Rhinolophus ferrumequinum: one gene and its partners. The protein of the gene in region 3 purifies or fractionates together with the protein of the main gene of each other region. This does not show direct contact. Links are inferred from orthologs where the notes say so. Each region holds a gene or a part of one and is shown on either strand. Other genes may lie near its edges. The genes, in order: RBL2, SCAPER, CCNA2 and CKS2.

Region 1 (7,680 bases), on a different chromosome or scaffold from region 3:
TTAATAAACAGACTACAGCTAAATATTATATCTCTTGTTAATTATTTCAATAGTAAGTGATTTTTTTTTAAACCATTAGGTCCATAAATTTTGACAGTGGTATTTATTCTGCAAAATGCCAAGTATCTTTTTTCTACCAATCTTTAATAAGTCATAGAGAAAATTCACCCAAAAGTCACAAATAATAAATGTAATCAATTCAATTACACAACAGATAGTAAAAGCAATTTTTGCCTCTTTATAGCATTATTTGACCCTTTCTGTAACTGATTATAATAGTGTTGCTTATACCCCAAACAGGAAACTTAGAAGTATTTACACATTCCATATATATTAAGATACAAGTCCTGTGCGTGTAGTTCTAAATTTAATACCATATAATAGTTTTTTAATCTTTTCAATGTAGAACATTTCCTAAAGTTTTTCAATATCCTTATTCAGAATTCTCCAATATTATAGAATGATGAGCCACAACCTTTAATAGTAAACTCTTCATACAAGTGCCTAATATATTAAAATTTAAGTATTTTTCACCAAATAAGTAAAACATAATGGATACTAACTGAGATGTGGTAAAGGAGAGCCATGACTTAGTGTCAAAGTTCAGCACGCCATAAGTACAAATGCTCAGAAAATGATGAACAAAGATAATTCTTACTGTGGTCTATGGGCTTTTATATTAATCGCATTCTACTTTTTAAACTCTAACATAGTTACCTCTGCTCTGAACATCGCAGGATTCTCGTTAAAGATACATAGTTTCCTTCAACTGTCCCTTTGCTTACAGTTGGCACAGATTTTCTGCAAGCCACATACAAGGCACATGCTAACCAATGAAGATCATTTCCCTGTAAAAGAAAATTGATGGTTAGCTAATGAGCTATATATATTTCAACACAAAAATCTTATGTTTAAATAGAAAGGAATATTTATATATGTGTGGGGAATTGTATTTTTAATGATGGCCCTATCCCATGTGCTCTTCTAATGTGACTGCCATTCTTCCACTGAGAGGCAGGAGTCTCTATTCCCTCATTTTGAACTGTCTCAACCAATAGCACAGGCGAAAGTGATGCTATGTAACTTCCCGAGATCATAAAAGGCAATACAGATTCCACTTGACTCTCTCACAGGACCTGGGCTTTGGGAGTCCCAATATGGGAGTAGAATACCTTGAGCAAATGACTTAACAGTCACAGAAGCTCAATTTTCTTATCTGAGGACTGTGAGAATTGAATGAGTTACAAGTATGAAGCAAAGACAATACAAGAAATCAAAAGATAAAACTCTGTAACCAGTATTCTGTAATATGTAATATATTATGTAATACAGTAATCTGATATAATATTATCTTATAGCGTACCCAACTATAAGCTCCACAGGCCAGAAATTGAGTGATCAAACATGTTTTCAAAAATTATTTACGAAGCATCTATTATTTGTCACTTGCTTATATAACACTGGACTTCATAGGACTTTAACCTCTATGAGTTGAAATACCTCAACCGTATGGAGATAACGCTTGTTCTACCTAATTTACAGGATTATCCTGAGGGTAAAGTAAGAGCTTATTTGGAGGCACTTAATGCCCATCACCAAAAAAAGAGTCCTTCTCTTTTCCTGACCACAGGAACCACTGAGAAATAAATAGGAACATGGCCTATTCAGCCAGATCACCTAAGTACATGAAAGAGCTTTGCAGACTGGACAGCACTGTCCCTGAGTGCTTTATGTGCCAGAAACTACATATTACCTTATTTAACCTTCAGACGGCTCTGTGAGGTAGATACAAATCTCTCAAATTTACATATCACAGAATTGAGTTTGGGGGTAGTTAAGTAAATTGTCCAAAGTCACTTAAGGCTCTAAAGCTACTACATTACTAGCTTTTGTTTCTTCTTGTGTAGATACAACAATAGGGAGAAGGAAATGAATGAAAATCCTATTAAGGCAAAAATAAATAAAAATAACCTTAGTGACACAAAGGCAGAACTATCCTATTATAAATACCTTGATTAGGCCGTCCCATTCTGAGCCTATCTGCCCTACTCTTTCCACAACCCGTATAACAACCTAAGAAAATCATGTGGCTTCCGGTTTGAACGCCACACACACACACGCAATGAAACAGCTGATAAACAATCCAGACTTCCGTGTCACTTCCCATTGGCCCATAAAGGGGAGGTGCCTACAGAGTTGAGTCTCACTGGCTAGCAAGACCATTTTTCTCATCTGCAAGCCCCGTCTGAAGAAAGGGCCATAACATGCCTACATCACAGCGACTACGAGAGTCCTGTGCAATGTCTGTCTGGGGGACCGAAAGGTGCTCAAGGTCGTCGCCGTCCTCATTTCCTAGTGACAAATGGGGGCGTGTGTCTACACCCAGGGAGGCAGAAAGCCCGTTTCCTTCGCCCCGGAGATTTCTCCCGTTGACACATACGCGAACCCAGGCGGAAACTTAACGCGTTTCCTCAAACAAACAGATGCAACGCCTGGACTAAGGCGATGCGGTGCAGGAGAAAAAGAGCAGAAGGGGAAGGCTAGAAACCCTAAAGGGTTAATCTCGGTGCGGACACCGACAACGTCCGTCCCTTCTCCGCCCGGGCTTGACAAGTGCACCTGTTCGTTCTGCCGACCAGGTAGTTGTCCTTTTGTAACCCTCGCGGTGCTACGTTAGGGCAAGAGGTGTTCCCCATTCGCAACCCGAAAGGGAAGAACAGCAAGACAGGGTTCCCCTTTGGGAACACCAAGAGCCTTTCAATCGCCAGGTTTCCACGACTAAGGTGCACAGGGAGGATTCCCATCCGTCTCCAGTTTGGAGACCCGGAGACCAGGGACCCGCCGGAGAGTCCCGGCGAGGAGCCCGACCCGGGGTAAGAAGGGGGCCCCGTTCTCGCGGCGAGCACGGCGACTAGGCCCGGAAAGCCCCTCGCCTCCTCCCCGGGGCTCACCTCCAGCGTGTAGCTCTCGCTCATGCTCCGGTAGCTGTCCCAGGCCTCGGCCCGCGCCGCCTCGTCCATGTTGAGGCGGCTGCATAGCTCGTGGAACCGCTGCTGGGTCTGAGGAGTCGGCGACCGGGCCGGCTGCGCGGCGTCTTCAGCATCGCCGTCGTCGTCCTCCTCCTCTTCCGAGGCTCCCGCCGCCGGAGGGGGTGGCGGCGGCGGCGGCGACTGGTCGCCTCCCGATGGCATCGCGCACCGCTGGGCGGCCGGTCCTCAGGTGAGCTGAGGGCCCGGGCCCGTAGCCATTCAAACCGCGAAGCGCCCGCCCGTCGGCCACTTATGCGGCGACTGCGCCGCCGCTAACGGCGCTTGACTTCACGTAGGCACCCGTAGTTCTGAGCATGGCCTGCTGGGAAACGTAGTCTGGGCCGGAGAGCCAAGGGGGTCAAAAATCATTCCCCACCCCCCCCCAAAAAAAATCTGCTTTCGTAGTATTCTTTGGGATGAAATAAAAGCGGCTTTTCTACATTTTAAGTACCTCCCCATCCTGAGACCACTCAGCAGGACTCTACTGAAGAGAAAACGTCCAAGAAACGTTAATTGACACGTGAAGGTTTAATATCCAAGGTGTCCCCAGAAAGAATACTCATCACCTTGGTGTTTTTATCAAAGAAATAAGGTTAATAGCAAGGGCCTTTCTGGCAAAGTTCATTGTCGGTGTCTACCCTAATTTCTAGTTCTTTCCTAAGTTTAAATTTTATTTGAGCCTTTAAGTAATTATTGGATTTTCTTTTTTAAAAGCCCTCCCCCAATAGGGCCAATATACGTTCACCGTGACATTGAGTGTACTATCCTCAGTCACCCAGTTGGCTTAACTTTATTGCTTTATTTTTGTTTTGCTTTATTTTCATATCTATAGACTTGAATCACTTTATTGCCAATCCTCTAAGATTTATAAATGGGCATATTATAAAACATTTTCATGCTTGATAAGCCGTAAGTCATTGCTCAGTGGGATACTATGTAAACCGAGGAAAAGAAATACTGGGACAAAAGCAGTTTAGGGAAGCTTTAATAGGAGCAGGAGAGAAGAGGGGGAGGAAACTTGGAGGTAGGAGAGAAGGAACTAAGGAAAGGTAACAGATGCCTCACGAACAATTTTGAGACGATGAAATCCTATTTGTACACCCTGCCTTGAAATTCACGGTAGAGTTGGATTTGTTTTCTCAGTGCTGAGTTAAGATGATCAAGGGCAAGAACAGAGGTGGGACACAACTGCTTTATAAGTATTTGTAAATACGTTGATAAGAAATTTTGCTACTTTCCTTATATTTGGGCTGGGGATACTAAACTTTTAAAGAATGACATATCGCTTATTTTGGATACCATCATCAACATTTTACTAGAAGTAAAACTTAAATTCTTTTCGAGGAATTGAACTGGCAACCTTGTGGTTGAGAGCCCACTGGCCCATGTGGGAATCAAACCGGCAGCCTTTGGAGATAGGAGCATGGAGCTCTAACCCCGAGCCACCGGGCTGGCCCAAAATTTAAATTCTTTATTGAGGTAAAACTCTACCCTTTTTAGTAAAATTTAATGTAATTAATGTAATTGAAGTAAAATTGGTCATAAACCATCAAATGTCTTATTAAAATATTCTTTGCTTGTCACTATCAATATTTTCCAAGCCAATGGACTCTAAATGTCATAGCACTTTGATACTATAATGCATTTAAAAAGTACATTTACAAAACTTTCGTTTAACAATGAGCAATTTGATATCATTCCTTTTTCTCCTTTACCTCACACTCCTGTTCTATCCTAACAAAATTGTATCCTAATCTTTTGTCCTTGAAAGTCCTTTCTTGATCTTTCATATTTCCTTTCATCAAAAATGTATGTACAAAGTATCCTTCTGTTTGTTCTTTTGTAAAACTCACTGATATTAATCTGCATATGGTAAAATTCACTCTTTTAAGCGTCCAGTTCTATGAATTTTGACCAATAGTCAAAATTAATATAGTCAATCAAGATATAGAACATTTCCATCACCCTAAAATTTTCCTAGTGCCCTTTTGTAGTAAACCCTCCTCACACATCCCCAGGCAATCACTGATCAGTTTTCTGTCCCCATAGTTTTCCCTCTTTTCCAAAATGTCATACAATGTAATCATACACTATGTAGCCTTTGATTCTAGCTTTTTTCAACTTGGCATAATGCCTTTCAGATCCATCCAAGTTGCTTGTGTCAGTTGTTCCTTTCTATTGGCAAATCATATTTATATGAATGTCCCAACACTTATCCATTCAACAGTTGGTTTTTATCTAAAAAAATAAGGATAATAGCAAGGGCCTTTCTGGCAAAGTTCATTGTCGGTGTCGCTCCTAATTTCTAGTTCTTTCCTAAGTTTAAATTTTATTTGAGCCTTTAAGTAATTATTGGATTTTCTTTTTTTAAAGCCCCTAAAGATTGTTGAAAACATCTGGATTGTTTCCAGTGTTTGGTGATTATGAGAAAAGCTCCTTTAACATTCATGTGCATGTTTTCATGACAGAAATTTTCATTACTCTTGGGTAAATACCTAGGAGTGTGCTATGGGCCCAATGTGTGTCCCTCCAAAATTCATGTTAAAACTACCCCCCAGTGTGACTGCATTCAGCGATAGGACTTTTAGTAGGTAACTGAAGTTAAATGAGGTCATAAGTGTGGGGCTCTAATCCAATAGGATTGGTGGCCTTAGAAGGCCACACTCAGGGACTGAGAAAGGGCCACCATGGGCACGCAGAGAAGGCGCCCAAACCGGCTAAGACGGATTGGCATTGCTGGTTGTGTGGTAAATGTTGAACTTTATAAGACACTGCCAAATTTCTTTGAAAGTGGGTCTATCATCTTGCATTCCCAGACACATTGAAATTTAAATTTATTTCCCTGTGATCATTAGGCAGTGTTCAATTCCTTCCAGACTGAGTTATCAAATGGCTATTATTGAGAATGTGGTTTCAACTGAGTTTACAATACTATATGGGTCTCCCATAAATATATTTTTACATGTGTTGCTACTAGCAAAAACTGTTCATTTGTTTTGAATTTCCACTTGAGGATGCTATCTACCCAAGCAGGGCTGAGGCCAAGTTACATTTTACCTGGTATTTTAAGTCTCTTGTTGAGACCTGAGTTAACCGTCATTTTGTGATTAATTCCACTCAGCTATTCTTGTCCAATATGGCCTGACACTATGAGCCCCGCAGGTCGACCCCTCCTACCAGCTCTGCTTATTTTGAATGAGAATCCGTTGTGCTAAAAATTCAACCCACAGTATAAACTACAAACAATTAGCTTTACTTAACACATAGGGAAGCCTTGGTACTCTGGAATAAAAACAACATGCCCTTAGAGCCTTTTCTGTCATAAACAATTACGGCCTATGACAGTAGATATTGGGCTACACACCCTCAACTGCTTTTTATTGCTACATTTTAAAACATTTTTGTCCATTTTCTTTTCCTTCTTGCATTCAGGCTATAAGATGTTTCTTTAGACTGGGGTCACCATATGACCTGTTTGTTGGTAGCCCCTTTTCTCCCTTCTCTTTTTAGGGGAACTTGCAAACTAAGTATCTGCGGTGGTGGGAAATGTGTGTCAAGGCCCCATCGGCTGTGAGAAGGGCCTTGCTTGGAATGAAGGGCATGGACATTAATGATTGAGTCCATGAAATCAATATTGACCACAAAAGACCCTGAATAGCCAAAGCAATCTTGAGAAAGAAGAACAAAGCTGGAGGCATCACACTTCCTGGTTTGAAACTATATTACAAAGATATAATAATCAAAACAGTATGGTATTGGCATTAAAAACAAGACAAATAGATCACTGCAACATAATAGAGAGGACATAAACCCATACACATATGGCCAATTAATTTACAAGAAAGAAGCCAAGAATATACAATGGGGAAAAGACAGTCTTCCATAAATGGTGTTGGGAAAACTGGACAGCCACATGCAAAAGAATGAAGCCGGACCCTTATCATGCACCATACACAAAAATCAACTCAAAATGGATTAAAAACTTGAACATAAGACCTGAAACCATACAAGTCCCAGAGCATAGGTGGCAAGCTCCTTGACATCAGTCTTGGCAATTAATTTTTGGATTTGACACCAAAAGCAAAGGTAACAAAAGCTAAAATGAACAACTTGGACTATATCAAACTAAAAATTTTCTGTACAGCAAAGAAAACTATCAACAAAATGAAAAGGCAACATACAGCATGGGAGAAAATATTTGCAAATCATGTATCTGATAAGGGGTTAATATACAAAATATACAAAAAATTCATACAACTCAATAGAACAAAATTAAGCAAAACAACCTGATTGTAAAATGTGCATTCTGAATAAACATTTTTCCAAAGAAGACATACTACAGCCAACATATGAATGAAAAGGTGCTCAACATTATTAATCATCAGGGAAATGCAAATCAAAACTACAGTGACGTATCACCTCACACCAGTTAGAATGGCTCTTACAAAAAATACAAGCGATAACAAGTGTTGGTGAGGATGTGGAGAAAAGAAAACACTTGTGCACTCTTAGTAGGGTGTAAACTGGCGCAGCCACTATGGAAAACAGTATGGAGGTTCCTCAAAAAATTAAAAATAGACCTACCATATGATCCAGCAAAACCACTCCTGGGTATTTATCCTGGGAAACACAATCACTATCTTGAAAAGAT
Region 2 (8,477 bases), on a different chromosome or scaffold from region 3:
GAAACAAATTAAAACTGAGAAACTCTAAACTACAGCAAAACAATGGCCAAGCAAAAGAGAAAAAGTCAGTAAACGGGATGAACACTAGGGCTGACTATGCCCAAGGTGAACAAGTGATGCACTGAAGTCTCACTTGTCTTACTTAGCCAGCCCTGCAGTCCCAGAAAGTCTGTGAAGACACCGAAACTCCCAGAGATAGGAATGTGAAGATTGGCTCAAGTACCAGGAAAGGCCTGCCTCTTTTCTTTATTCAAGTTTGGGTACACAGGTTCTGAAAGGGCAAGAAGTAAATGATAGGCGCAATACAGTGAGAGGCCTGCTACTACACTAGTGTTACTGTAAAATATGCAGGCCATCTAACTGAAGCCAGGACAGCACATCTATGAATTGTTCTCATGATTACCAATGAAATCTAGAAAAATTAGGGTTTGCAATCACAGTTCCTCTCCAATGTTCACGAATCTATCACTTGTGTTTTTGCATTTTCTGAAATATAAGAAAATCTAAGTATTTAACTTTGAGCCTGGTACTTAAAACAAAAATTATCAGTAATTTTTAATGTCTTTGCTAAGTGGAAAATAAGTGTACTACGGTAAAAATAAGTATTTTGAAAAGCAAAATGGACATTTTATAATTCCAACTTGTTTAATGAGGTTGTCAATTCTGATCACTCCTATACAGACTACCATGAATATATCAACCAAGAAGCATTTATTTTCTCCCATGAACCTGGTATGCCTCTTGGAAAATACAAGAACTACCCTGCTTTTCCAATACTATATTAAAAGCAGGCCTACCACCTACTGAAAATTAAATGTTATGTCTGAGATTTGCTTCAAAACAATGGAGAGGGAGCTTTCATAGGACAAAATTGCCCAGGCATAGGTAACCGCTAAAATAGATTGTCACACAGCAATTAATTTTATTCTCTATTTTACCTATCTTCTCAAAATATATAATGAACTTAGTACTTTAAGAAGTTGTCATTAAAAAGTAGTTAATAATTTTATCAAAGCTTCCTGAAATCCTTAGTGTTTCATGACACAGAGGAAAAAGTCTTTCTATAAACCATTTCCTTCTAATAATTTAAGGTTGGCTCCACCAACGGAAAGCAGATCTTTGCTTATGTTTCATAAAACCTACTGCCAAAGCAAAACATGTTTGTGGAAAAGGTTACCATTCCAACATGAAACTGGAAACAGATTTTTATTAATGACTTACTTTAATTTTTGGTATACAAACCATTTGCAGTTTTGACTTCTACAAAGAAATGCCAATCTCACAGTGGATATCAGATTGAACCATTAGAGAATTCTGTTTAACTTCCCACTAAATGCCACCACCACTTTCTATTAGTGTTTAAAGAATCTTCACATGTGATTCCCAAAGAATTTTTTCTTCTACTTTAACACTAGGTTGGACTGTGGTTGAGTATGAATGTGAAAGACAGACTCTCAAGCCCCTTAATGACTTAGCTTTACGACATTCCTGTAAAGTGGTTAAATTAAGGTATTAATCAAGTTAATATCAAATCAAACTTTTATTGGTTAAGAATCTGTGAAGCCCTAGGACAAATATTTGTAAAGTCTATGTTTAAAACACTATCCTTTGGACCCCAAGTCACCAAAGTTATTTATAAATGCATTTATAAAGTAACACTAATGATGCCTCCGTGCATAATTCATCAGGTAGAGTGACCTAAACCACCAACTGGTTAACTATAGAAAATTAAAAAATTGCAGCTCAAGGGAACGGGGAAAAAGAAGGCAAAAAGCCACCATTTGCCGAGAGATTACTATGGGCCAGAAGCAGTTCTAAATGCTTTACAGACACCTCATTTTCTTAGTGTCACCAAATTTATGAGGAGGATATTTTCCCTATTTTACAGACGAGGAAACAAAGGCCCACAAAAACTAAGTAGTCGGCCACTGGATAAGTAATAGAGCCGGGATTCAAACTCAGATCAAACTCACATCTGCTTTCAAAGTCATCATATCATACTTCCTCCCACAAAGACAACTTTCCAAATCATATTAAAAATCTGCTCTTTGATTAAGTAAAATATTAATTCCTTACTTGAAATTATTCAGAGCATTTCAACATGGTGCATAAATCGATCTGCACCCAACACATTTTTGGGAAAAGTCATAGTTAACGGAAGAAAATACAAGACCCAGAACACCAATATAAACGAGAGTGGGATAATGGGCAGACTGCCAGCCTTACGTCCGGAAGCTTAATCGCATATCTGCCATTTACCAGCAAGTGACCGGGAACACGTAATAACGTCTTTCAGCCTCAGTTCCCTCATTCATAAAAAGGGCATAATACCCACCCCATCCTTCTACCTCGGATTGTTTGAGCATGAAATAATTGATGTTGGAAAACTACAGCAAACTATAATTCATAAGGAATTACCGTTCAGTAAGATGACTAGACTGAAGAGCTATTTTCACGGGGAATAACTCGGCACAAACAGAACGAGGAATACAGTCCACCAGCTATAGGACGCTGCTCTGAGGCAGGCGGCCCCACCCCAACGGAGCCACTTGACAGCAGCAGGTGCTGCTCGCGGACCAGTTTGCCGCCTGCATTCTATCGTTCCCGTCACTCCCCGGCGGGGAAAGGCGCGAATGAGGCGCCGGGAAGGGAGCACTGACAGAGGTGCGAGGCCTGGCTTCGGCTCCTCACCCCTGCAGGCCTGTTTCCCCGTGTGTACATGGAGACACCATTCCTGTCGTGTCCCGGGCAGATGGAGGGAAAGCGCGGTCAAGCCCGCTGAGAACAAGCTGACGGGCTAATCACCTGTCAGGTGAGGGGCCGGCAGGGAGGCTCCCCCGGAAAGCCCTCGCACTTTGGACATTCCCTAAGCGTCCACGCGCGCTGCCGGGGTCGCCCTCTGAGGGGCGAGGCAGACCGCGCCCACCCCTTGGCCCTCACAGCCCGGCTGGCGCCTGCTCACCCCCGGTCCGCGGCCTCTTCAGAGGACCCCCGGGCCCTCGCCAGCGGCCGCGGCTCCCCTCCCCCAGCGGCGATTCAGGTCCCTCGCCGCCCACACTCCCAGGTGAGGGGAGAGGGTGAAAGGGCGTACCCCGCAGCCATTTTATCCCCGTGGGCCCGCAAGGCATTCCGCCGCCTGGCGTCCCCGCCCAGGCCCGCCCGGTCTGCAAGACGCGCGCCCCTCGCGGACACTCACCCCGGCCGCCCTGCGCAGCTCGGGCGGTCCCGAGCGTCCCGCCGGGAAAGAGGCGGGGCGGCTGCCGGCGAACCACGTGACCCCAGCCGCGCTGCGCGACGCCGCTGGCGGCCCCGCGCTCCGGCCGCACGCGCGCAGGCGCAGCCCTGTTCGCGACCGGGGCCGCGGAGACGGGAGGCTCGTGCAGCTGCTTCTGGAAAGCTGTTCTCTTTCCTAGGCTGCGCTGGCACTGCCGCCTTTTGCCACACAGCCCGCTATCTCATATTCGGTGCCTTCCCTCTGCCTTTCGTGTCACCACAGTTAGTCCCACAGTTGAAGGACCAAGAGGTCCGCCTCACAAACACCTGGACCTGTGGAAGCGCCTCAAAAAACCCCGTAGGACTACGCCAATCACACCCGCCCCTCGGCCATAAAGCTTTATTCGGCCCCTCTTGTGTGCCAGGCTTGGAGGGCTCAGAGTAGAGACCCAGTAAATGTCTTTTCTCTACTTAAGAGACACACTACACGAACGGAATGCCATAACGATACTTAAGACACAGTTCTGAACAAAAGAGGAAAGAGACTCAACCTAGACCATAATTATCACAAGAACATTCCCCACCATTCTCACCCAGCTGGTGAGCTCACTCTTCACCCTGCCCTCTCCCTTGTCAACCACAGTAGGTGGGAGGGGAAGTCATGGAATCCAATGGAGGGTACCTCACAGAATATGGAGACTGTCAACTGAAGGTCCTGTCACCAACTCAATGCCAACAAGAGTCACCAACTTAAGGTGAGGTGAGAGACTTTACTGGTCGAGGCAGCCCAGGTGAGGAGGCCTCGGTGTGGTGTTGCAGCTCCAGCCTCGTCATGGTACTCTTCCATGGACACTGAAAGTGTGCTCAGCTGAGGCAGAGGTGAAGCGCCCTTATGTAGAGAAGAGTGCTGGGCCTTTCACCTGATCCGTCCATTTCTATGCAAATGGTTCCTCATTGGTCAGAATGGAGCCTCTCTGATTGGTCGGTGAGGATGCAAATGAGGCTATAGCTGCACAGCTCTGGTTGGATGGGGAAAGTCTCAGTCCTATTGGTGGAATTGAGATCTTAGGCACACCCTTATAAAGAATGGACTCAGCGACAGGCAGGAGCACAATGCAAGACTTAGAAAGTCTCAGCCTGAGGCTTTTCGTTGAAAGGCAAGCAGCCTGAGGGACCTCTGCAAACAACGTCTGCTAGGTTCTAGTTATGAATTTGAGGCCGATTAACCACAGGGGTCCTTTCTGGTAGGTACATTCTCGGGGTTGACAAGTCAGAACCATATTGTTGGCTGTGTTCTGGCTCCTCTCCCCTCTTACCTGCTTAGAAAACTTGTTCTTTCAGTAATTTTTTTCACAATACTTAGACCACATATCAGACACTGTTCTAGATACTTGGAGTTAGTAAATAAACTAGATAAAAATTCCTGTGTTCTTGGAACAGGGTGGTGACAGACGATAAATACTGAATGTAACAAATAAATTACATAATATATGATAAGCACCACCACGTGGATACCACATTTCTGCCCCACCACCACTTGGATACCATTCTTTCCAAAGTCACTACGGATATCCCCAGTGCAGATCCTGTGGATATCATCATTATGACCTAAGTTAATTTCTCTGAATTGGTTGACACACTTGCCACCTGGAAACACTCTTTCTTTGCCTTCAATTTTCACTTCCTTGGTCTCCCATCTCCCATCACTCCCTCTTCATCTCTTTTGAAGTCACCTCTTATTTCTCCCACCCTTGAAATGTTGTTGTCCCTCAGGGAGAGACGCAAGCCCTCTCTTTTCCCACTGCACACACTGTTTTGGGGAGATTGCTTCCTTTTATATAACTTTAGACAGCATCTTTGTGCTTTATATTTCCCAGTATATATCTCCAGCCCTGATTCCAGCTCTGAGCTCCAGATTCAAATGGTTGTCTCCACTTGAACCTCTCAAAATCATAGGACCAACGTAAAAACAGTCATTATCTTTCTTACATACATATAAAACAATTCTATTGAGATATAATTTACATACCATACAATTCACCCAATTCAAGTGTACACTTAAGTGATTTTTGGTACATTCAAAGAGTTGTGCAACTATCACTGCTATCAAGTTTTGAACATTTCATCACCCCAAAAAGAAACACCTTACTCATGAACAGTCACTTGGCCATCCTCACAAATTGTCATCATAGTCAGATGTTCATTCTTTACCAAGGCACAGCAGTCCACCTGCAGGTGCTTTTCAAATGGTTACAATAGAGTTTAACTCTATTTCCAAATAAATTTCTCTGTGACAGATGTCATGGCTTCATTCTCTAGTACCCAAGGAGTCTGCACTGTGACTGTCCTACAGAAACTTGCTAGGGTAAATATGTGGGTAATTATAAACAAATATTGATTTAGGAAATAAAGATACTAATATCTTATAGAGCTAATTTTATAGAAAGAATTATAATATATGACAACAAATCAGTAAGGCATGTGGTGGGTAGTAAATTTAAGTAAAGTGTTCTAAGATCTTCACACTGTTCAGGAGGTGGTACATTAATTTACATTAGAGACAGTTTCATAAATCAAAAATGTATGTTGAAATTTGCAAGCTAATAGAGGAAAGAACAGAACAATAAAAAGAAAAGTAATAATTATAAAAAGGCAAGAATAGAGAGAAGAAGGAACGTAGAATGTATTGGACAGATAGAAAAGAAATCATAAGATGATGTGTTTAAAATCAAATCTCTCAGTCACTATATTGAGTAAAAATGGAATAAATACTCCAATTAGAAGGTAAAGATTTTAAGACTAAGTGTAAAACTTCAATTATGTGCTGCTTTCAAGAAATACACCATAAATATGAAAACAGTGAGACTGAAAGTAAGTGTATAGAAAAATGTATAGCTACAAACAGTAAGTGAAAGAACCCTGATGCAGTTATGCTAGCATTAAACAAGGTAGTTGGCTTTTTTCTTTTAATTGTTAAAAATTTAGTTTTCAGTTACCATTGATACACAGTATTATATTAGATTTAGGTGTACAAAACAACATAGTGATTCAACAGTTACATACATCACAAAGTGATCACCCCAAAAAGTCCATTACGTAGCTGACAATGTACACAGTTATTACAATATTATTGACTATATTCCCTTTGCTGTACTTAACATCCTGTGACTATTTTTTTTAATTATAGTTGACATAAGGTAGTTTCTACAATGAAATGCTTTTTTTAAAAAAGTAAAGATAACATTTTATAATGTTAAAATATCAGTCCACCAGGAAGATACAAAAGTCACAAATCTGTATGTCCTCAATAAAATAGCCTCAAAACATTTATGACAACAGTCGACAAAATTAAAGAAATATACAACCATAATAGGATATTATAAAATATAACTCTTAGTAAATGATAAAACAAACAGATAAAATAGCCATTTAGATATAAAAGATCCATACTACACAGTGAACAAATGTTACCTAATTTACATATATAGAAAAGTGCAATCCAGAACTTCAGAATACAGATTTTTTTTTTCCCAGTGCACATGGGTGGGAACTCTTCAGAAGAAGACATGGGCAGCAGAAGTCTGAGGTTTGAGCTCTCTACTAGAATAAGTAACAGATACAACCATATCTTCCTTTCTCCCCTGTACATTTGTGTTTCAATTCCACTCTCCTATTAAGTGAGTGTCAGGTGGGTGTTCATTTAGCCAGAGTATGTGAGATGCCTCTCATTTTGGGTATCATGTGTAAACTGTGAGACTAGAGACCAGGAGTCATGTTTTGGAGGAGACCCCAAGGTGTAGCTTGTTTTACTCAACTCTGCTTTCTTCAGCTATTTGATTGATAGAAGAAGCTTCTTTTGTATCCTATTTTTGCATAAGACATATCTGCCTTAACAAGGATATACAGGTAACCCCCATACAGGTTACATGGCACTTCTATAACCCGTTTTCGCTCTAACATGGTTCGAGAATTGAGGGAAACCCTTGTACAATACGGCATTCTACAACACAGTTTCACTCTACCATGGTTTGAGAATTAGAGAAATTCCCGAACAACATGGAGTGTAGTAAGAGCTTTTAAGAGCAGAAGATATCACATTTGAAATTAGGGAAATCCCCAAACAACACGGAACGTAATAAAAGCTTAGTAGTGATGACAAAAAAACATTACTTAATACATATTAATATGTTATGGTTTTGGTGAAAATTGCTTCAATAAAGATATGTCTCTTAATTATAAAAAACATAATAATATGTTTTTTTAATTTTTGGAAACTCCCGTTTTTGAATTAGTTCTCTGTTTTGTATAACACGGATTCGCATAATATGGCATTTTAGGAACCTAACAACCGTGTTATACAGGGGTAACCTGTATAATGCATACAGAAAACTCTGGAAAGAAACACCAATGTTAATAGCAGTTATTGATAAGAATGGGATCTGACTTTTCTTTTTTCTTATTTGTAAATACCAACTTGCCTTAAAAAAAAAAAACAACAAGCATCACGCATTATTTGTGTGACTCTGTCTTTGCACTATATGGTACTGCAAACCTTTAAAAAAATAAATAAATAAAGACAAACAAACAGAAACCAACCTTACAAGCCCCCATACCTAAGTTGGATACTGAAAGCAAAAAAACAGAGCCTAAATAACTACAAGTCCCTGAACATCATCTTGTGGTGGAATTGCAATGATAGGAACTGTGTTTTCTCTTTGTCACTTGTATCTAAGAACATGTAAGGACTGAAAGCACAGTGTGTCTATAAGGCAATCCTGAGTTTTGTTCCCACAAACACTCCAGAATGTATACATTTAGGAAGTATTCTCTTTCAAAGAAGTCACTCTGCTCATATCAGTTTTGGATGTCCTCTCACAAAAGTGTCTTCAGAGCTGGTTTAGTAATGCCAAAAGAACATTAATTTCATTTAATTTATAGGAAACTCTTGCTTAGTCCACAGTCTTACTCCTCATTTTGCTCCTTCTCTCATTGCCTTTAGCAAAGTTTTATCCCGTCCTCATTTCTAGTCTTTATTTTTACTGTTAAAGTGTTTGACTAAGACTTCAAGGACCTATTGTTAATAAGCTGGGGAAAAGAGTGTGGGAAAGGATTCTGAGGCTTAGTAAAGCATGGGTCTTGGAGAGGGGGGCAAAGAGGGGGCTGGTCAGTGTTGAGTGTGAGGCCCAAAAGTAAGGTAACATTATAATTTATCATCCCATTCTGGGTTACTTTTGAGAGTGAAAGGGAAGTGATTAATAAGTACG
Region 3 (7,553 bases):
ATGTGTCATGGACTCATGATCATTATTTTATTGTGATGGGATTTCTAAAATTTTAAAGACTTTAAAGTTATACTGGATTGAATTTTGAGCATTAAATTGCTTCTGTTTTTAATTTTAAACAAGGAATTGCAGGTTCATGAGGGAAATACAAACTTTCTGATACCAGAATATCGCTGTATTTTAGAAGAGGCAGATCACCTACAGGAAGAATACAAAAAGCAACCTGCACATCTTGAAAGACTCTATGGTTAGTGTACTATTCTAGAATACCTTGCCATATTTCTTTCTTACTGGCTGTTTGTAAAGGATCATGTGAGAGAAGTTGGGCAGAGGAGACAGGCAAAGATTACAGCATCATGAACCTGTGACAGCCAATTTGTTGCTTAGAATATGTATTTTGTCAAGTTAGTTTTAATATTTAGTAGCTTTATTTGTTAAAATGCAAGTAAAATTAAGTGAAATAAGTATAATGCAGTGTGGGGTTATATACATGAAGAAACCTGGTGTGAAATGACTATAATCTATGAAGCATTAAAATTTAGGCTATATTTTACACAAATAATTTTTAGGTTTTTTTGCTATTGTGAAATATCAAAATGCAGCATTTAATATATTTTTAGGCAAAATTTAATAAGGGATATATATATACCATGTCAGTTTACAGTCCAAAACTCATTTTGTGGGGTGGCTGGTTAGCTCAGTTGGTTAGAGCATGGTGCTGATAACACCAAGGTTGCTGGTTCGGTCCCTGCATGGGCTGCTGTGAGCTGCACCCTCCTTTAAAAAAAAAAGCAAAAAAACGAAAAACTCATTTTGCTTTGGTGGTAGAAGTTGGGTATTTCACAAATTATACTGAAAAAGAACGAGAGCAAGAGGAAAGGAAGGACCAGCTTAAGAAAAACTTTATTTTTTGCAATCTTTACATAAGACCTACTGTACATAGCACACTTGTTTATTTATAACATCTTCATAATCAGGTGGGATACTTAATCCTTAAAAAAAGCTCTGCAAGGTAGATGGTGTTACCTCCATTTTTTACACTTTTTAACTGAAATCTGAGAGTAAAGAATTTGTTGTCGCATAGATAAGTAGAGGCAAAGCCTGCAGAACCTCCTCACCCCAAAATGCGTGCTTTTTGCACTATGTCAAGTCTTCTATAGAGTCAATTAGTGTCATCAATCTACATTTATCCTTAAGCCTACCTGATGAATTTCTTTTATTACATCGAGGGACTTGCTCACAAACTGTAATAATAATATCTAATATCTTAGTATTTACTATATGGAAAGCACATGGTTTTTTATCCTTATAGCAGCCTAGAAGATGGGTGGTGCAGACCCACTGTCTCTTATCACCACTTCCAAAATCCAGAAAACTTTGAAAAACAAAGCTGTTTTTCGTAAATCACTTGGCTTGATAAGTGAGTCATAAATCAAATCTGACTTGATCTGAATTAATTTAATGACAAAATCTCACTTAAACTGACATGAAATTATTTATAGTCTTTTTTATTCCACTTAGTGGGATTGTTTATGCATATATTTTGTTGCAGAAACATTACTATGTTTTGTTATCAAATGCTGTCATTCACTCCCCTTCAGAATTATACCATATGTGCTATATTCTTTTTATTATCTTCCTAAACTGAAAAACTCTGAAACATACCTCCCACCCAGGGTTTTGGGTAAATGGATTGACAGCTTGAATCGTTTCCATTGTACATATGAGAGAACTTAAAGGTGAAATAATTTGCCCAGATCTTTGAACCTAGGAAGTCAAATCCCAAGAATGGTCAACATATTGATGGAATATTTTAATATAAATAAACTTGTGAAGAACAGAATTTCTACAGTATGTTGAAATGGTCAGCTTGATGGATAAAACAAACCTTTTGCTGTGATGTTAAATACACCGAGAGCAGTTCAAGACTGGACAGTGTTTGTCTGAATTAATAGCTTGTAACCAATTGTTAAGAGGGTTATTAGCCAACTGATTTATATTTTGAAACTTGCCTTTAAAATTCTCCCAAAATAAATATTTTTTAAAGCATCAATCCTTTCAGGTTTGTGTATAAATAATGGAATTACAGGTGCTTAGAAATAGAGTCTCAAGCAATCATTCACTTTTATTAAGTACTATGTCATTAATTAGAACTAATCAATGACAGGAAATTAACATTTTTTTTTATAGGCATGATCACCGATCTCTTCATAGATAAGTTCAAGTTTAAAGGCACCAATGTGAAAACCAAAGTTCCTCTTTTACTGGAGATTCTGGACAGTTATGACCAAAATGCATTGATTGCTTTCTTTGATGCTGCATGAAATATAAACCAGGTAAAGTTCCAGAGAAGTTGTCTGTTTAAAAGTAAAAGCTAACTATATATACTTTCATTTCAAATATTTTTAAATATTTTCTAAAAATATTTGAGATACAACTTTTTTTTAGTAATGCTATTTCTTTTGACAAATGCAACTTTTTAAAAATAGAGAGCATTTTTATTTTTAAAATACAAGTGGAATGATTATAAGGTATCCTAATGAATTTTTTGCAAGTGAATGTTTTAACTTTTATGATGATAAATAATATTTGGAAAATAAAAATACATTCAAATATTTCACAAGCTCTACCCACACATTATATATATATAAACTGCTTTACAGTTTTCAAAATGTATTTGCATTCGTTTACCTCTTTTGATCTTAACTGTATTATTTTGTCAAATAAGAAAACTGATTCTCACTGAGGTTAAGTGAAGAAGACTGCTCTTATTTTGTAAAGCTGGGACGAGAACCCACATACTAGTGCCTGGTTTGTGTCCTGGTTACCATATATGCTATCAGCCAGTGGAAATAACCTACCAGTTATTTTTCCTAGGAGTAGAGATTGACTTGCAGTTGATTTCACTCTTGCTTGGTAATGAGCATCGTGACCAGTGCTCAGTTTGTAAGGTGCTTAAGTTGGCTCAATGCTATTAATTGTGGTCAAAGAAACAAGCAGAGCTCGCACCGATTGGGGGTGAGGGGGACTTGAATTCCATGTGCTGTAACAAATAGAGCTAGACCAGTGTGCATGTGAATAGTGCACAAATAGTGATGGCTTCTTAGATTTTCCTGCACTACTATCCACTCATTTCCTTTTTATCATGTATGAAAGGAAGTATGACTTTAAGGCTACAGAAGTGTTATTCATTAATCTTAATTCATGTTTATTCATACTCAGAGGAATATTGTATTCAAAGTTTACTTTAAAATGGCATAAAGATTATAATGGAAAATCAGCTATTCTCTATGTTTTTAAGAAGGACACACTCATGAATTTGTCAGAAAACAATCGTGCTTAATTATATACCATTATATTTATTAGTTATGTACAGCCTTGAATATTAAATGTGAAAATCTGTTAAAGGCACTTATCACTAAGAGTTTTATTTTAATAAGGTCACATATTCTACTATATTCAAACAACCTTTTCTAAATGGAACACATAAATATGTCACTAGAATTTCACTGGTGCTTTTTGTTGGCTGCTACATCGTGGGTTAAAATAGATCAGAACTGATGACTAGTTGAATTTCTTGTAGTAATTACTATTTGTTATATGTATCAACAGTAGTTCACGGTGGCACCTCAAATTAATTGCATCTTCATTAGGAACAATAAAAAAGCATCTAAATGGTAGATGACATAATCTGCCATGTATTACATGTTATTACATGAGCAGCGTGTTAAATAATTTATGCATATAATTTAATCCTAACGACAACAGTATGACGTGTAGATATTAACAATGAGCAGATAAGAAAACAGATTCGGAGACATTGAATAACCTTGACCAAGACTACCAGACCAGTTAGATTTTACACTTTGGGAATCAAGTCAGTCAAAGCCTGGAGGTCCCTGGGCTAAAGGCTGGGGCGGCCCACCAATCACGGCTCAGGTTTCACTGGTTAATCCTAGGGGCAGCCCTGAGCCCAGGGACCGCCCCGTGGCTTCATTTAAAGTCACGGTAAAGCCAGGCCCCGCCTCCCGCCCGGCGCAGGCGTTTTTCCTCCCGCCGCCGTCCGACATTGCCCCGCCCAGCCCCTGCTCGGTCGCCTGCGCGGCCGCCTTCACTCGCTTGCGACGCGTCGCCCCGAGTGACGTCACGGGCCCCCGGCCTTGATCATTGGCTCATTTCAATAGTCGCGGGATACTTGAACTGCATGAACAGCCGCCTCTCCGGCGGGCTGCTCGCTTGGTCTCGGTGGTGTCCTAGGCTCTCCACGCCCGGCGGTGCCAGCCTGCGCCTTTCATAGCCTCCTCGGTTCTCAGCGATCCGAGTGGGTGGGTGCGCGGGCGGGCTGGCCCGGGCTGCGGCAGGCGGCTACGGCTGGAGCACTGCTTGGCGCGGCCGGACGGCGGTACCGAGTGCACGCTGCTTGGCGCTGCAGGCTGATCCCGCCGTGTCCTTGGGAGCAGTGATGTTGGGCACTTCTGCGGCCCGCGAGGCGGGCTCGGCGCTGCTAACATTGCAGCAGACGGCGCCCCAAGAGGACCAGGAGAACATCAACCCCGAGAAGGCGTCGCCCGCCCAGCAGCCCCGCACCCGGGCCGGGCTGGCTGTACTGAAGGCCGGGAACCAGCGGGGTCCGGCGCCGCCGCAGAAACCGAAGACGAGACGGGTAAAGAGAAGAGCGATATCTGCAGGAGGGTGGGCCGAGGGTTAGTTTTGCAAAGGTTTAGCGGGCAGAGGAGAGGGGCGAGAGCATCCTCTGGGCTTTTTGTTAGGGAGGCCTGGGCCTGCAATCCCCTCGATCTCTGGTTTTGTGGCGTGTGGGATGCCACCGGCGTAGTTCTCCCATTACTTTCCTGGCCATCAACTGCATTGTGCTGCCTGTCTACTCTCGATTGGGGGTATTTTTCTGTAGATAATGGGGTCAAACCAAGCTCTACAGCATGACTGTGGTCTTTGCCCGCCTCCGTGCCTTTCTCATAGTTTTTAAACCCCCGGCTGGCTCTAGGACCTGGACCTGCTGCCGCCTTCCCACGCGGCTAAGAGGTTACTTCTACCTTAGAAAAGGATATAATAAATACTCTGTTTTTGCTAAATTCCGCCATTTTACCCGATTTGCTCTGTTGCTCCACCCTGGGGTGAAAGTGGTGAAGCAACGCATTTTTGCCATCTCTTTCCTAAACTTGTCACCTTTCAGCCACTCCACCCCTCTTGTGGCCTTGATTAGTTTCTCATAATTCCACTTGGTATGACGCTCTATAACCTTTGCATAAATGCCTGTGACACATTGGAACATTCCTTTTCTTCGACTATTCGAAGTTCGTTGCCTGGATTTTGCCGCAGTAACTTTAATTTTCCTGATAGAGTAGTTGGGAGTAAAGCAGAGGCTGAGACCCAGAAGGGGAAGAAAGCAAAACTTCATTTAATAGGCTGAAAATCAGTATCCGTTTCTTTTTAGGCTGCACCTCTTAAGGATCTTCCTGTAAATGATGAGCATATTATTGTTCCTCCCTGGAAAGCAAACAGTCAACAGCCTGCATTTACCATCCATGTGGATGAAGCAGAAGAAGAGACTCAAAAGAGGCCAGGTGAATCTAAAAAAACAGAGTGTGAAGATGTCCTGGCGTTTAATTCAGCTCTTACTTTACCTGAACCAAGAAAACCACTGGTACCTCTTGATTACCCCATGATGGGCAGTTTTGGTAAGTTTTAATGAACATCTGTATCAAATCGATGTAATCATAATTATTAGATAAGTTGGGTTAATGATATTTCGCATTTTAAGGCATCTTACCTGACCCTTACTACATGAGTTAGGCTTAATGTCACAAGTTTAGAAAGGGTGTTTTATCTCAGACCTCACAACTAGTACATGACCTAGTGACCTACAAAAAAGAAATAAAATCCTAATTGACCAGTGTTCCTTCCAGTACACTGCCAGTCTCATCAATTTAATTAGAGCTCATTGATTTTAATCTGACCCTGGAAATGTTTGCTCTGTTGGGAGAATAGATTTCAATTGTATTCATCAGATTCACTTTGTTCATACCACTTCAGAGATGGGTATGCAGCTTTCCATATTGTGATATCTACTAACATCTCTTGAGCTTTAAAGTTTTGTTTTGTGAAAGCATATGAGCGATCCTGTGATACCAGAGAGGAACACTGTCCTGTGAGTCAGCAGCTGAACCGTGGCTCTTTGTCTTAACCACACATCAGAGTAGCTGCTTTCGACAGTTGTGCCTGCAGTTTGTGCTGCTGCCTAACCATAGGGCTCGAGTCCCTGGACAGCTCACTGAATCTAGTCTTTTAGTTTTATTGATGAGTGGGGGTCTGGGAGGAGCAGGAAAGTCTTTCGGAATTCAAAGAATTTGTGTATTTTTATTTAAAATTTGCAACAAATTTTAGCCTCAAAGTGAACCTTGAAGTGAAAAGAAGAATAGATCTTCTTTGCTTCAAAAGATAACTTAAAATTACAAAAGTGAATCACTTGTTGATTACAGTGTTAATTTGTTTATAGTGCCCATAATAAACCTAAAAACCGAATTTTCTCATTAATACACTTGTTAGCCCTGCTTCCACTTAATTTGTAGGTTGTGCTTTGAATATGTCGAGCTTTGGGATCTGCAAATTCTTAGGGCAAATCCTATGTTATCTCAAAACCTGGACTTTAACTCTGTCCTAACGGAACCATCATGTCACCTGTTCTTGTCTCATGGAAGTTGAATGATACTTCAACATACATAATACATGATCCTCACATTTATTTACCTGTTTGTGGCCTATCAGTATTTTTTCTTGTTAGATAAAGCTAAGTAGACAGAGATACTAAAACCGGAGTGAAATAAATATTCTTTGTACTTTGTCATGGGAAGCCCTTTTTCATCACGTGAAATATATGCTTTCGTGGTGTGGGACTTCCTACAAGGGCAGTGACTTTTTAAATTAAACAGTGAACTTAATCGTACTTTTGAATTCTCCCAGAGTCACCACATGCTATGGACATGTCAATTGTACTGGAAGATGAAAAGCCAGTGAGTGTTAATGAAGTACCAGATTACCACGAGGACATTCACACATACCTCAGGGAAATGGAGGTAAAGGCTCTCTGAATCCACTTTTCATACTGTTAATCAATGTCATGAAATGAAATTGAGAGGGAAATGCTTTGAAGTTTTTTAACTGCCAATGAATTGCTCTAATGCAATACTTAGGTTTCTAGCATATAGCAGCATAGTTAATGATAGAATAATCTAACTGAAATGTTTAAATCTATGCTAAGTAACTTTCTCAACAGATTAAATGTAAGCCTAAAGTGGGTTACATGAAGAAACAGCCAGACATCACCAACAGTATGAGGGCTATCCTCGTGGACTGGTTAGTTGAAGTAGGAGAAGAATATAAACTCCAGAATGAGACGCTGCATTTGGCTGTGAACTACATCGATAGGTTCCTTTCATCCATGTCTGTGTTGAGAGGAAAACTTCAGCTTGTGGGCACTGCTGCTATGCTGTTGGCCTCGTAAGTCAACTTGGGTGAAAAGTGATCAGTACCTTTCT
Region 4 (8,085 bases), on a different chromosome or scaffold from region 3:
ACTGGGTCAGGTCTGGGAACCAGAGGGTTGTGAAAACCATGGCAAAGAACCTACCTGGGGAGGAGTAAGAGGCAGGGCTTCATGTGAACTGAGGCTTCCAACCCTCAGTACAGGCTCCCTTGTGCCATTTACAAACAGAGCAACTTCACTTACAAAACACAAATTTAAAGATTAAATTGTTAAGAATTTCCAGACATGACAGCAGAGCTTTAAATCCCAAGTGCAGGGTCCTATGTGATTGTACTCACTTTTTAAATCAGCATTATTCTTGCCTAATAGAATAAACTTCATAAAACTTGAAAGTTTGGTAAAATTCTTCTATAAAGCCATTTGGGTCTAGTGTCTTCTTTAGGAGAAGACTTTTAATTACTGCTCCAATTTAATAGATATAGGATTCTTCAGTCTTCTTGTGGTTTCTTGAGCCAGTACAGGAAGACAGTAAAGGCAAAGCACATGAAGGAAAAACAGAGAGACCAAGCAGAAAATAGTAAAATGGCAGACTTAAAGCCTAACATCAATAATTACATTGTGTAAATGGTCTCAAACACCAATTTAAAAACAAAGATTGGAAAAATGGATAAAAAATTTTTACCTAACTATATAATGCCTACAAAAAATTCACTTCAAATATAATGATATAGGTAGGTTAAAGGTAAAATGATGTAAAAAGCTATAGGACACAAAGCCCAATCAAAAGTATGGTGGAATAGCTATATTAATATCAGAGTAGACTTCAAGGCAAAGAAAATTACCAGGACAAATTGGGACATTACATAATGATAAAATATCTATTCACCATGAAGACCTAGCAACCTTACATGCATCGAGTAACAGAGCTACAGAATCCATGAAGCAAAAACTGACAGAACTAAAAGGAGAAGCAGTGTAGGGACTAAGCCCTATGGTACTCTCACATTTATAATAATCAGTTAGAGACCAGGATGGGCCAGTACAGGCATAAGGGACAATCTTGAACATCCTTTCAACAGAACACTAAAGACCTCGTAAGAGCTATGAAATGGCCATTCATGTCAGTGGAATCCCAGAAGGAGAGTGAAAAAGCAAGCTGTAGAATATTTTATAAAGTAAGAATATGCATATATTCTAGTTCTGAGAGTGATACATCTGAATTAGGTATAGGAAAAAGTCTACGTAAATAATATACCATATTGTTTTCAGTGGTTAAATCTGTGATCTGGGGTTGTTGGGTAAGAAGCAAGTAGGCATCTTACTTCTGATATTGTAAATTTCTTTTAAATTTTGTAAGAATAATTTTTATTTCTGTAATTTTCAAACATAAATTGAATATAACATACTAGGAAGAGTGCTCAATAAGTATTTGCTGAATGAGTGAATATGGACCAACTACGGCAATTTTGCAAATGAATTTTGTCACTGCACTAATGGCCTGTTAGTGGGGTAGGAAAGTTCTAGATACTTGTTGGAGATCCATGATAACTCGAGCATGCTCTAATCTTACCAGTTGCCTTTTTACCATGTAAACACCAATCAAAACCTAAACTTCCTGTTTGAAAGGAAGCAGGGCTTGTTTGAAAGACCCACTTCAAAAAAAGCAGAAATCCAATCCCTGTTGGTTCTAGCTTTGAAATTGCAAGTCTGTCCCTTCCTACTCAAACTCATCCTATCAACAGTAATAACTTTGTAACAGGGTGTCCCTGTTAAGGACATTCCTTCCAGTCTATCCTCCACATTCCTCTCATTACCTTTGTCACATCTGATCTGACTGTGCCACTTCCTTGCTGAAAACATTAGCTGGCCCTACGTTAATAAAAATGACCAAATTTCTTAGCAAAAAATCCCTCCCCAGTCTGGCCCAATCCATTATATTGGTTTCCTATTGCTGTTTTGACAAATTACCACAAACTTAGTGGCTTAAAGCAAACACAAATTTATCATCCAATATTTCCAGAGGTCAGAAGTCTGAAATACGTCTTAAACAGGCTAAAATTTAGATGTTAGCAGAGAGGTGTCCTTTCTGGAGACTAGAGGACATCTATCCATTCCTTGCTTTTTCCAGCTTCTAGAGGCTATCTACATTCCTAGGTTCCTGGTGATGCCTCTCTGACTTCTTGTTACAGCTTTCTCTGACCCTCTTGTCTCCCTCTTATAAGGACCCTTGTAATACCATTGGGCCCTCCCAATAATCCAGTATAATCTATCTCAAGATCCTTAACTTAATCACATCTGCAAAGTCCCTTTTGATGTGAATACATTTGTAGGTTCCAGGGATTAGGATGTGGACATCTTTGGGGGCCATTTTTTTGCTTACCACATTCATCCTCCCAGATTTAATTCCCACAACTTTCCTTTCCATGACCTCTATACTCTAAACCAACCCCATTTAGCATTCTGTGCATATAGGAAGTTTCCTCACGCCTTCACCATGACAATCCTTCTATTGGAAAGGCAAGAGGTAGTGTATGATAGATTAAGAGGCCTAAGTCTGGAGTCAGACTGGGCTCATATCTGAGTCTGCCACTTACTTGCTAAATGGATTTGGACAAACTTTTGCTGTTGTTTGACCCTAGATCTAAATACCAGATTATAGGAAAAACAAAGTAAATTATACCATAGGAAGCAATTACCCAAATCCAGACTGTGGAATGTTCCACAGGCAAAAATGACCTGGTTTTTCTGATAAACCTATATTTAAAAAAGGTGGTCTGTCAGCAGAGGAGATTGTATAAAAACTTAAAGAGACAATAACCAAATTCGATGTGTAGGCCCAAGTTTGGATGCGGATCCAAACCAACCAACTATAAAAAAGGCATCTGTGAATCAGGGAAATCAATCTAAAACAGGTGTCAGAGAATGATGAAGAATTATTAAGTGTAATGACATGGTACTAAATGTATATTTTAAATTTTTTCTTGAGATGTACACCATAAAGACAGATATATATACAGAAGTATTATTTCAGAGTAAAATGGCATTATATTTGGGATATCTTTAAAGTTATTCTAGCAAAAAAAAAAAAAGAGAGAGGAATAGATAAAACAAGATGGGCAAAACGTTTATTGCTGAAGTTGAGTGACTGGTACATGGGAGTTGATTATACTATTGTATTTTTGTGTGTTTGAAATTTTCCACAATACATCTCTGTAAAAATACAGAGGGTGCCAAAAAATGTATACACATTTTAAGAAAGGAAAAAAACTATTAAAATTGTAATACTCGATGTATGCTGGTAACAAAAAATGAATACAAGTTATGTGTATATATATTTTTTGGCACCCCTGGTGTATGTCCTAGGAAACTTTTTTCCCAGGTTCTGCCAGACAGTTAGTGATTTCCTTATCCATCTACCTTAGCAGTTTATTCGTATTTTTACCAGCACATAATCACACCTGATTATTTGGGCATACATTACTATCACTTACTACTTAAAACTTATTGCTCATCATGTGCAAGAGACTCTACTATGTCCTGGGTAGAGCAGTGAATGAAAGACATGCCCTCATCACCGGGTTATGTAGGGGGGGCAGACAAAACCCCAGCAAGCATGCAACAAAGGACCAGTGGGTTGGAAACTCCAAAGACGCTAAGGAGGGACAGGAACGGGGAAAGCGGGGACTTCTTGAGCACAGGGTATAAGGAAGCCGTTTCAGGAGACTGATCCTTAACCTGAGAGCTGAAGGTGAAGGGCCACCGGGTGTTGGGTTGGGGGAGGGTAGCGGGCCCGTCTATGCTCTCACCTGTACTATGCTGCAACTAACACTGAATCAAGATCGTTACTACAAACATAACACATTCTCATTTAGGGAAATGTGAAAAATACAAAAAAGGTCACTTTTAATTGTCATCTAAAAAGAACCACTTACATCTTGGCATATTTCCTTCCAGTAACTTTATTTTACATGTGCATGTATTTTAAACTAGGGCTCAATACTAAGAGCCAAAAAGTTTTAAAAACCACTTTTAATCCCTTTGTCCGGTAGGAAACGTTATTATTTTAATAATCGTTTTTACATTTTGCATTAAGAAAAGCACGCGTATACACATGCTTATCTAGAGTTGTTATGAATTATGCTCAAGGCGTGGGAATACATGTTTTACCTCACGTCAGGCCTCTAGTGCTCAGCCCCGGCCCTATCGTTCACGCAGCACTCTTGCAGGGTTCTGAAGAGTTCCAGGCGGAACAACCTCGGCTTCCTCACGTTCCTACTCTCCCCAAAAAGCTGGGTGCCCTCAAAGTTCCCAAACCTTGGCTTTCCCTATCTTCTACAGACCTAGGACGCGGAACCCGGGAAATGCGCCCCGAGCCTGCGCCTGCGCACAAGCGGCCTCGCGGCGGGCAGCCCCGCCCTGGCATCGCCAAACACCGCGATATCTCATCCGTCCCACAAGTTCGTCGCCCTAACGGCTCTGCAGACCTGGAAAGTTCTAAACCCCCTGCACCCTTTCCTGGTCACGCCCCTTACGTCAGAGAGCTCCCCGCCTCCACGCCATGCCAATCATTCACTTCTTCCCTCGGGCAACCTCGCAACAAGCCACTGAGTGGCTGATCTTGGGAGTGAACGTCGCGGAGCAGCGGCAACGATAGGCTGGAAGCCGGCCCCGCCTTCCCGCAGTTTGCACAAAAGGTGATTGGTCGGCTTCTTTGTCCAATCAGCGGCGGGCTGTCGGATTCAAACCAGGATCGTTAGGCCTGCGGTCTGTTGGTTGCAGTTGAGTCGTTGCTTTGGCCGGACGCACACCTTCCCTCAGCTGCGCCCGCTCTTCCTGCCCGGTCGCTCCCCTTCCGCGCCGCCTACCTGCCGGCAGGATGGCCCACAAGCAGATCTACTACTCAGACAAGTACTTCGACGAGCACTACGAGTACCGGTAAGTGGGCCAGTGGGCGGGCTTCCTCAGCCGCTGCCCAGGGAGGGCCGGTGTTCGTGTGGGGGCCGGAGGTCGGGTCAAGGTCGAGGCCGGGAGTTGGAGTAGGGGCCTTGTGAGGATGGAAGCGTGTCGGGTTGTGGTCGGGGCCAGAGCGCGCCCCTTATTTCGCCTTTACGGGCACAGCCAGCCTCCCCTCTTTGTTCCGTCTGTGAGAAGGATGAGGCAGGGGCGGAGATGGGGGCCACTTCTGGTGACGAGTTGCTACCTTAAAGGGAACAGGCGGAAGGACCGAAGCGGACCCGGGTCCTCCGCCACGTCCAGTCGTCACTCGGGCTCTGGGCGGGCCAGTGGCCGACATCCAGCGGCGAGAGCCCTACTCCACCCGTGCCGCGGTGCCTAAGAACTTGCGAGCTAGTTGGCATTCTCGAAGTAGTTCCTCTCTCCCAGTCACTGTGGTGTGGAGGGTGGGAGAAACACTTTTTCTCCTTGCTTTTGAAGTTAGTGATGCTAAAAATGACTTTGAGGGGGAAACCCCGAAAACTTCGCTTTTTGGAATTTTTAAATGTTTATTGCGTATGGTGATTTGGGTAGGCGTTTGTGCGTTAACCATGATGACTTAAGGGCATTATCAAAGGGGTTTCACATTTAAGACTAAGTTGAGAACTCGTGTGGACTTTGGGCATTTGTGTGTGTGTGTGTGTGTGTGTCTCAGTATATACTGGCCAGATCTTCGCTTTGAGGAATTTTTGGTTTCTGAGTCGTGATGTGCTGCACTAGAACGTAGTTGCTAAAATTAATCTGTAAAATTAACAACTTGGATTGTGGGAGGGAAGGACCACTTCGTTTATTGGCCTTATTGTCTGCAGGAGACTTCCTTGGGGCGTGGCTTCAAAGACCAATCCTACCCTGTTCTCCTGGATGGTGACTAGGAAGCTGCATTTGGGGCCAAGCAGTGACCTTGTTTCTGCCTGCTGTCCTTTCAAGTTAGATTTCCAAGAATGCTATTTGAGGTAGAAAGGGCATAGTGTTTGCTCACTCTCTCTCTCTCCCTCTCTCTTCTTGTTGTATTGGAAGTCTGTATTCTCAGGAGAAAAACTGATGCAGTTTTACAGATTAGTAATACGTGCATTGTTTCATATTCTTAGCTAGAAAAATCTTGTTTTTCTGGATATAGATAAATTTGAAGTCGATCATCTTATTTTTATATAGTAACTACATGGTACAGTTTCAATCCTGTAATATATTGGCATAATGTTCAATTATGTGACATCGACCAAGAGCCCAGCTGGGGATATCCAATAGTGGACAGAATGTAAACTGTATTACGTTTCTAAAATATGGAAAAAATATTAATATTCTGAAACACATCTGGCTCTAGTAGATTAGGATACTTTTTAGGACTTCTGGCAGTTTCATTTTTTATTGTCAATATACTAACAATTATCGATGAGCACTTAAGTAGACTGCGCTGTCAAAATTTTAGCCTAACTGGTTTGTGTATACTAATGTGTAGAAGAAAATCCTGTCGTATCTGAAGTGATATATTCTAATCTATTATTAATTAAAGATAATGGTCCTTCTTGACCAAGCCACTTGCCTTACAGAAACAGCACAGTGATTAATCTCCAGAGATACTTTTAAAGGCAAGTTGATACTGATAATAAATCACTGAGGTGTGAGTCTAGGGTGGTTTGTATATGGTGGTGCAACATGCAATGTGAATTTCAAAAGTATTTATTTTTGCTAGTGTGCAGTTGCCTACATCTTTGTGTTTTGTAAATGCAAACTTAATTTCCTATTCCCTTTACTTAGGTTATTTTGTAAATGAACTTCAAAACTTAGTTCTGTTAAATACCGTCTGAAACAAGTATTATAGGGTTGTATGGATTTAAATTTATAAAAATTTTATGTTAGTATTTTTTTTTAAAAAAATCCTATCCACAACTGTTGTCTGCCCTCCTAATTGCATCTTTGTTGTAGCTCCTTTATATTGGCCTATATGTAGCTGTTTATATTGGCCTTTACCCTCCTCCCCTCCGTGACAAGCCCATGGTACTGAAATAAACACTTAGTTTTGGAAATAATTTTTCTTACATGTAGTTAGAAAACTATCTCCATGCAGTTAAATACAGGTAGAATTTCTATGTGAGCTTGAAGCTACTTATAAATTTTTCTTTTATAATCAAACTTGGATGAAGGTGAGCCTGTTCCCATGCTTTATGGAGAAGGTAGGGGTTGTGACTTCTATCTAAATAACATGTTGGTGCATTTATGTAGGTATACATAATAGTACAAGTTTAGTTAGCATTACATTTCTCTTTGAGACTAATCAACAATGTGATAGAAGTAAGATTATAGGTTATTTGCAGAGCCTTAAAAGGAGATGTTAAAGCAGCAATCCAAGAACGAATAAGGTAGCTGGTAAGTATTACTAAGAATCACCATGCAGTTCACTGGAATTGGTGAAATTTTAACCAGGATAGTATGCATAATTTGACTTGGCCTCATGGCAATCTACTTGCATAGCACAATTCTTCTAAGGTTTATTTTTGTTCTACATAAAATTGATACTTAACTAACCAGCCACAGATTGGCTTAGTTGCTGACAGATGAGTACTTACAATGGGTTCACTTTTCCTGTGTGCCAGAAAATAACCAGTTATACCTTTCTCACTTCTAGCCAACTGACTCACAGGTAGATATCCTATACTGGTCAAAAAAATTGGTTGAATATGTATGACTGTACAAAATTAGTACTACCTGGAAATGGTAAAAATAGGGCTGGGAGTTGTGATTTTTATAAAGATCTTTATATGTAATAAGGGGTGTACGGATTTGTCTTTGAGAATGTAACAAAGCTACAATTGTACATATTCTTGATGTTTTGACATTGAAGACTATCGCATACCTTCCTCAAAAAACTTAAGTTTTGGGTATAGGTCTAACTTAACTGGAAAACTAAAGGTCTGTGTCAGGTAGCAGGTACATATATATGTGTGATTAGTGTTTGTTTTTTATTCATTCTGAACAGAGTATAAAGCAACTTCTGCAGTATACAAGTAGATACAAGATTTGTATCTACTACAAATCTACAATGTTGAGTAATAGGAAACCCTAATTAACTAAAAAATTAGATATTTTTTTTCTCCTTATGTAAAAGGCTACATGAAGCTGGGATGACAGGTCTATAATCAGGGACTATCCTCAATTTACAATAGCTTCTGTGGTCTTGGATGGCTT

What was found.
Region 1: the proteins of CCNA2 (region 3) and RBL2 purify together in Homo sapiens (affinity purification with mass spectrometry; 3 studies listed by BioGRID and IntAct, counting the BioPlex papers as one, with this or other methods). This does not show direct contact. The link is inferred for Rhinolophus ferrumequinum from reciprocal best matches to the Homo sapiens genes CCNA2 and RBL2.
Region 2: the proteins of CCNA2 (region 3) and SCAPER purify together in Homo sapiens (affinity purification with mass spectrometry; 3 studies listed by BioGRID and IntAct, counting the BioPlex papers as one, with this or other methods). This does not show direct contact. The link is inferred for Rhinolophus ferrumequinum from reciprocal best matches to the Homo sapiens genes CCNA2 and SCAPER.
Region 4: the proteins of CCNA2 (region 3) and CKS2 purify together in Homo sapiens (affinity purification with mass spectrometry; 3 studies listed by BioGRID and IntAct, counting the BioPlex papers as one, with this or other methods). This does not show direct contact. The link is inferred for Rhinolophus ferrumequinum from reciprocal best matches to the Homo sapiens genes CCNA2 and CKS2.

The regions. Positions count from the first base shown.
Region 1 is NC_046298.1:7,167,191-7,174,870, reverse strand, and holds the start of RBL2 (retinoblastoma-like protein 2), read right to left. Parts: upstream 3,312-7,680; 5' UTR 3,192-3,311; coding exon 2,952-3,191; intron 849-2,951; coding exon 718-848; intron 1-717. UniProt on the Homo sapiens protein: Key regulator of entry into cell division. Directly involved in heterochromatin formation by maintaining overall chromatin structure and, in particular, that of constitutive heterochromatin by stabilizing histone methylation.
Region 2 is NC_046311.1:39,189-47,665, reverse strand, and holds the start of SCAPER (S phase cyclin A-associated protein in the endoplasmic reticulum), read right to left. Parts: upstream 3,291-8,477; 5' UTR 3,197-3,290; intron 1-3,196. UniProt on the Homo sapiens protein: CCNA2/CDK2 regulatory protein that transiently maintains CCNA2 in the cytoplasm.
Region 3 is NC_046301.1:4,678,731-4,686,283, reverse strand, and holds the start of CCNA2 (cyclin-A2), read left to right. Parts: upstream 1-4,195; 5' UTR 4,196-4,462; coding exon 4,463-4,663; intron 4,664-5,452; coding exon 5,453-5,696; intron 5,697-6,978; coding exon 6,979-7,091; intron 7,092-7,291; coding exon 7,292-7,515; intron 7,516-7,553. Other genes in the region: BBS7 (Bardet-Biedl syndrome 7 protein), read left to right, coding at 124-247, 2,191-2,324. UniProt on the Homo sapiens protein: Cyclin which controls both the G1/S and the G2/M transition phases of the cell cycle. Functions through the formation of specific serine/threonine protein kinase holoenzyme complexes with the cyclin-dependent protein kinases CDK1 or CDK2.
Region 4 is NC_046295.1:4,649,395-4,657,479, reverse strand, and holds the start of CKS2 (cyclin-dependent kinases regulatory subunit 2), read left to right. Parts: upstream 1-4,632; 5' UTR 4,633-4,786; coding exon 4,787-4,845; intron 4,846-8,085. UniProt on the Homo sapiens protein: Binds to the catalytic subunit of the cyclin dependent kinases and is essential for their biological function.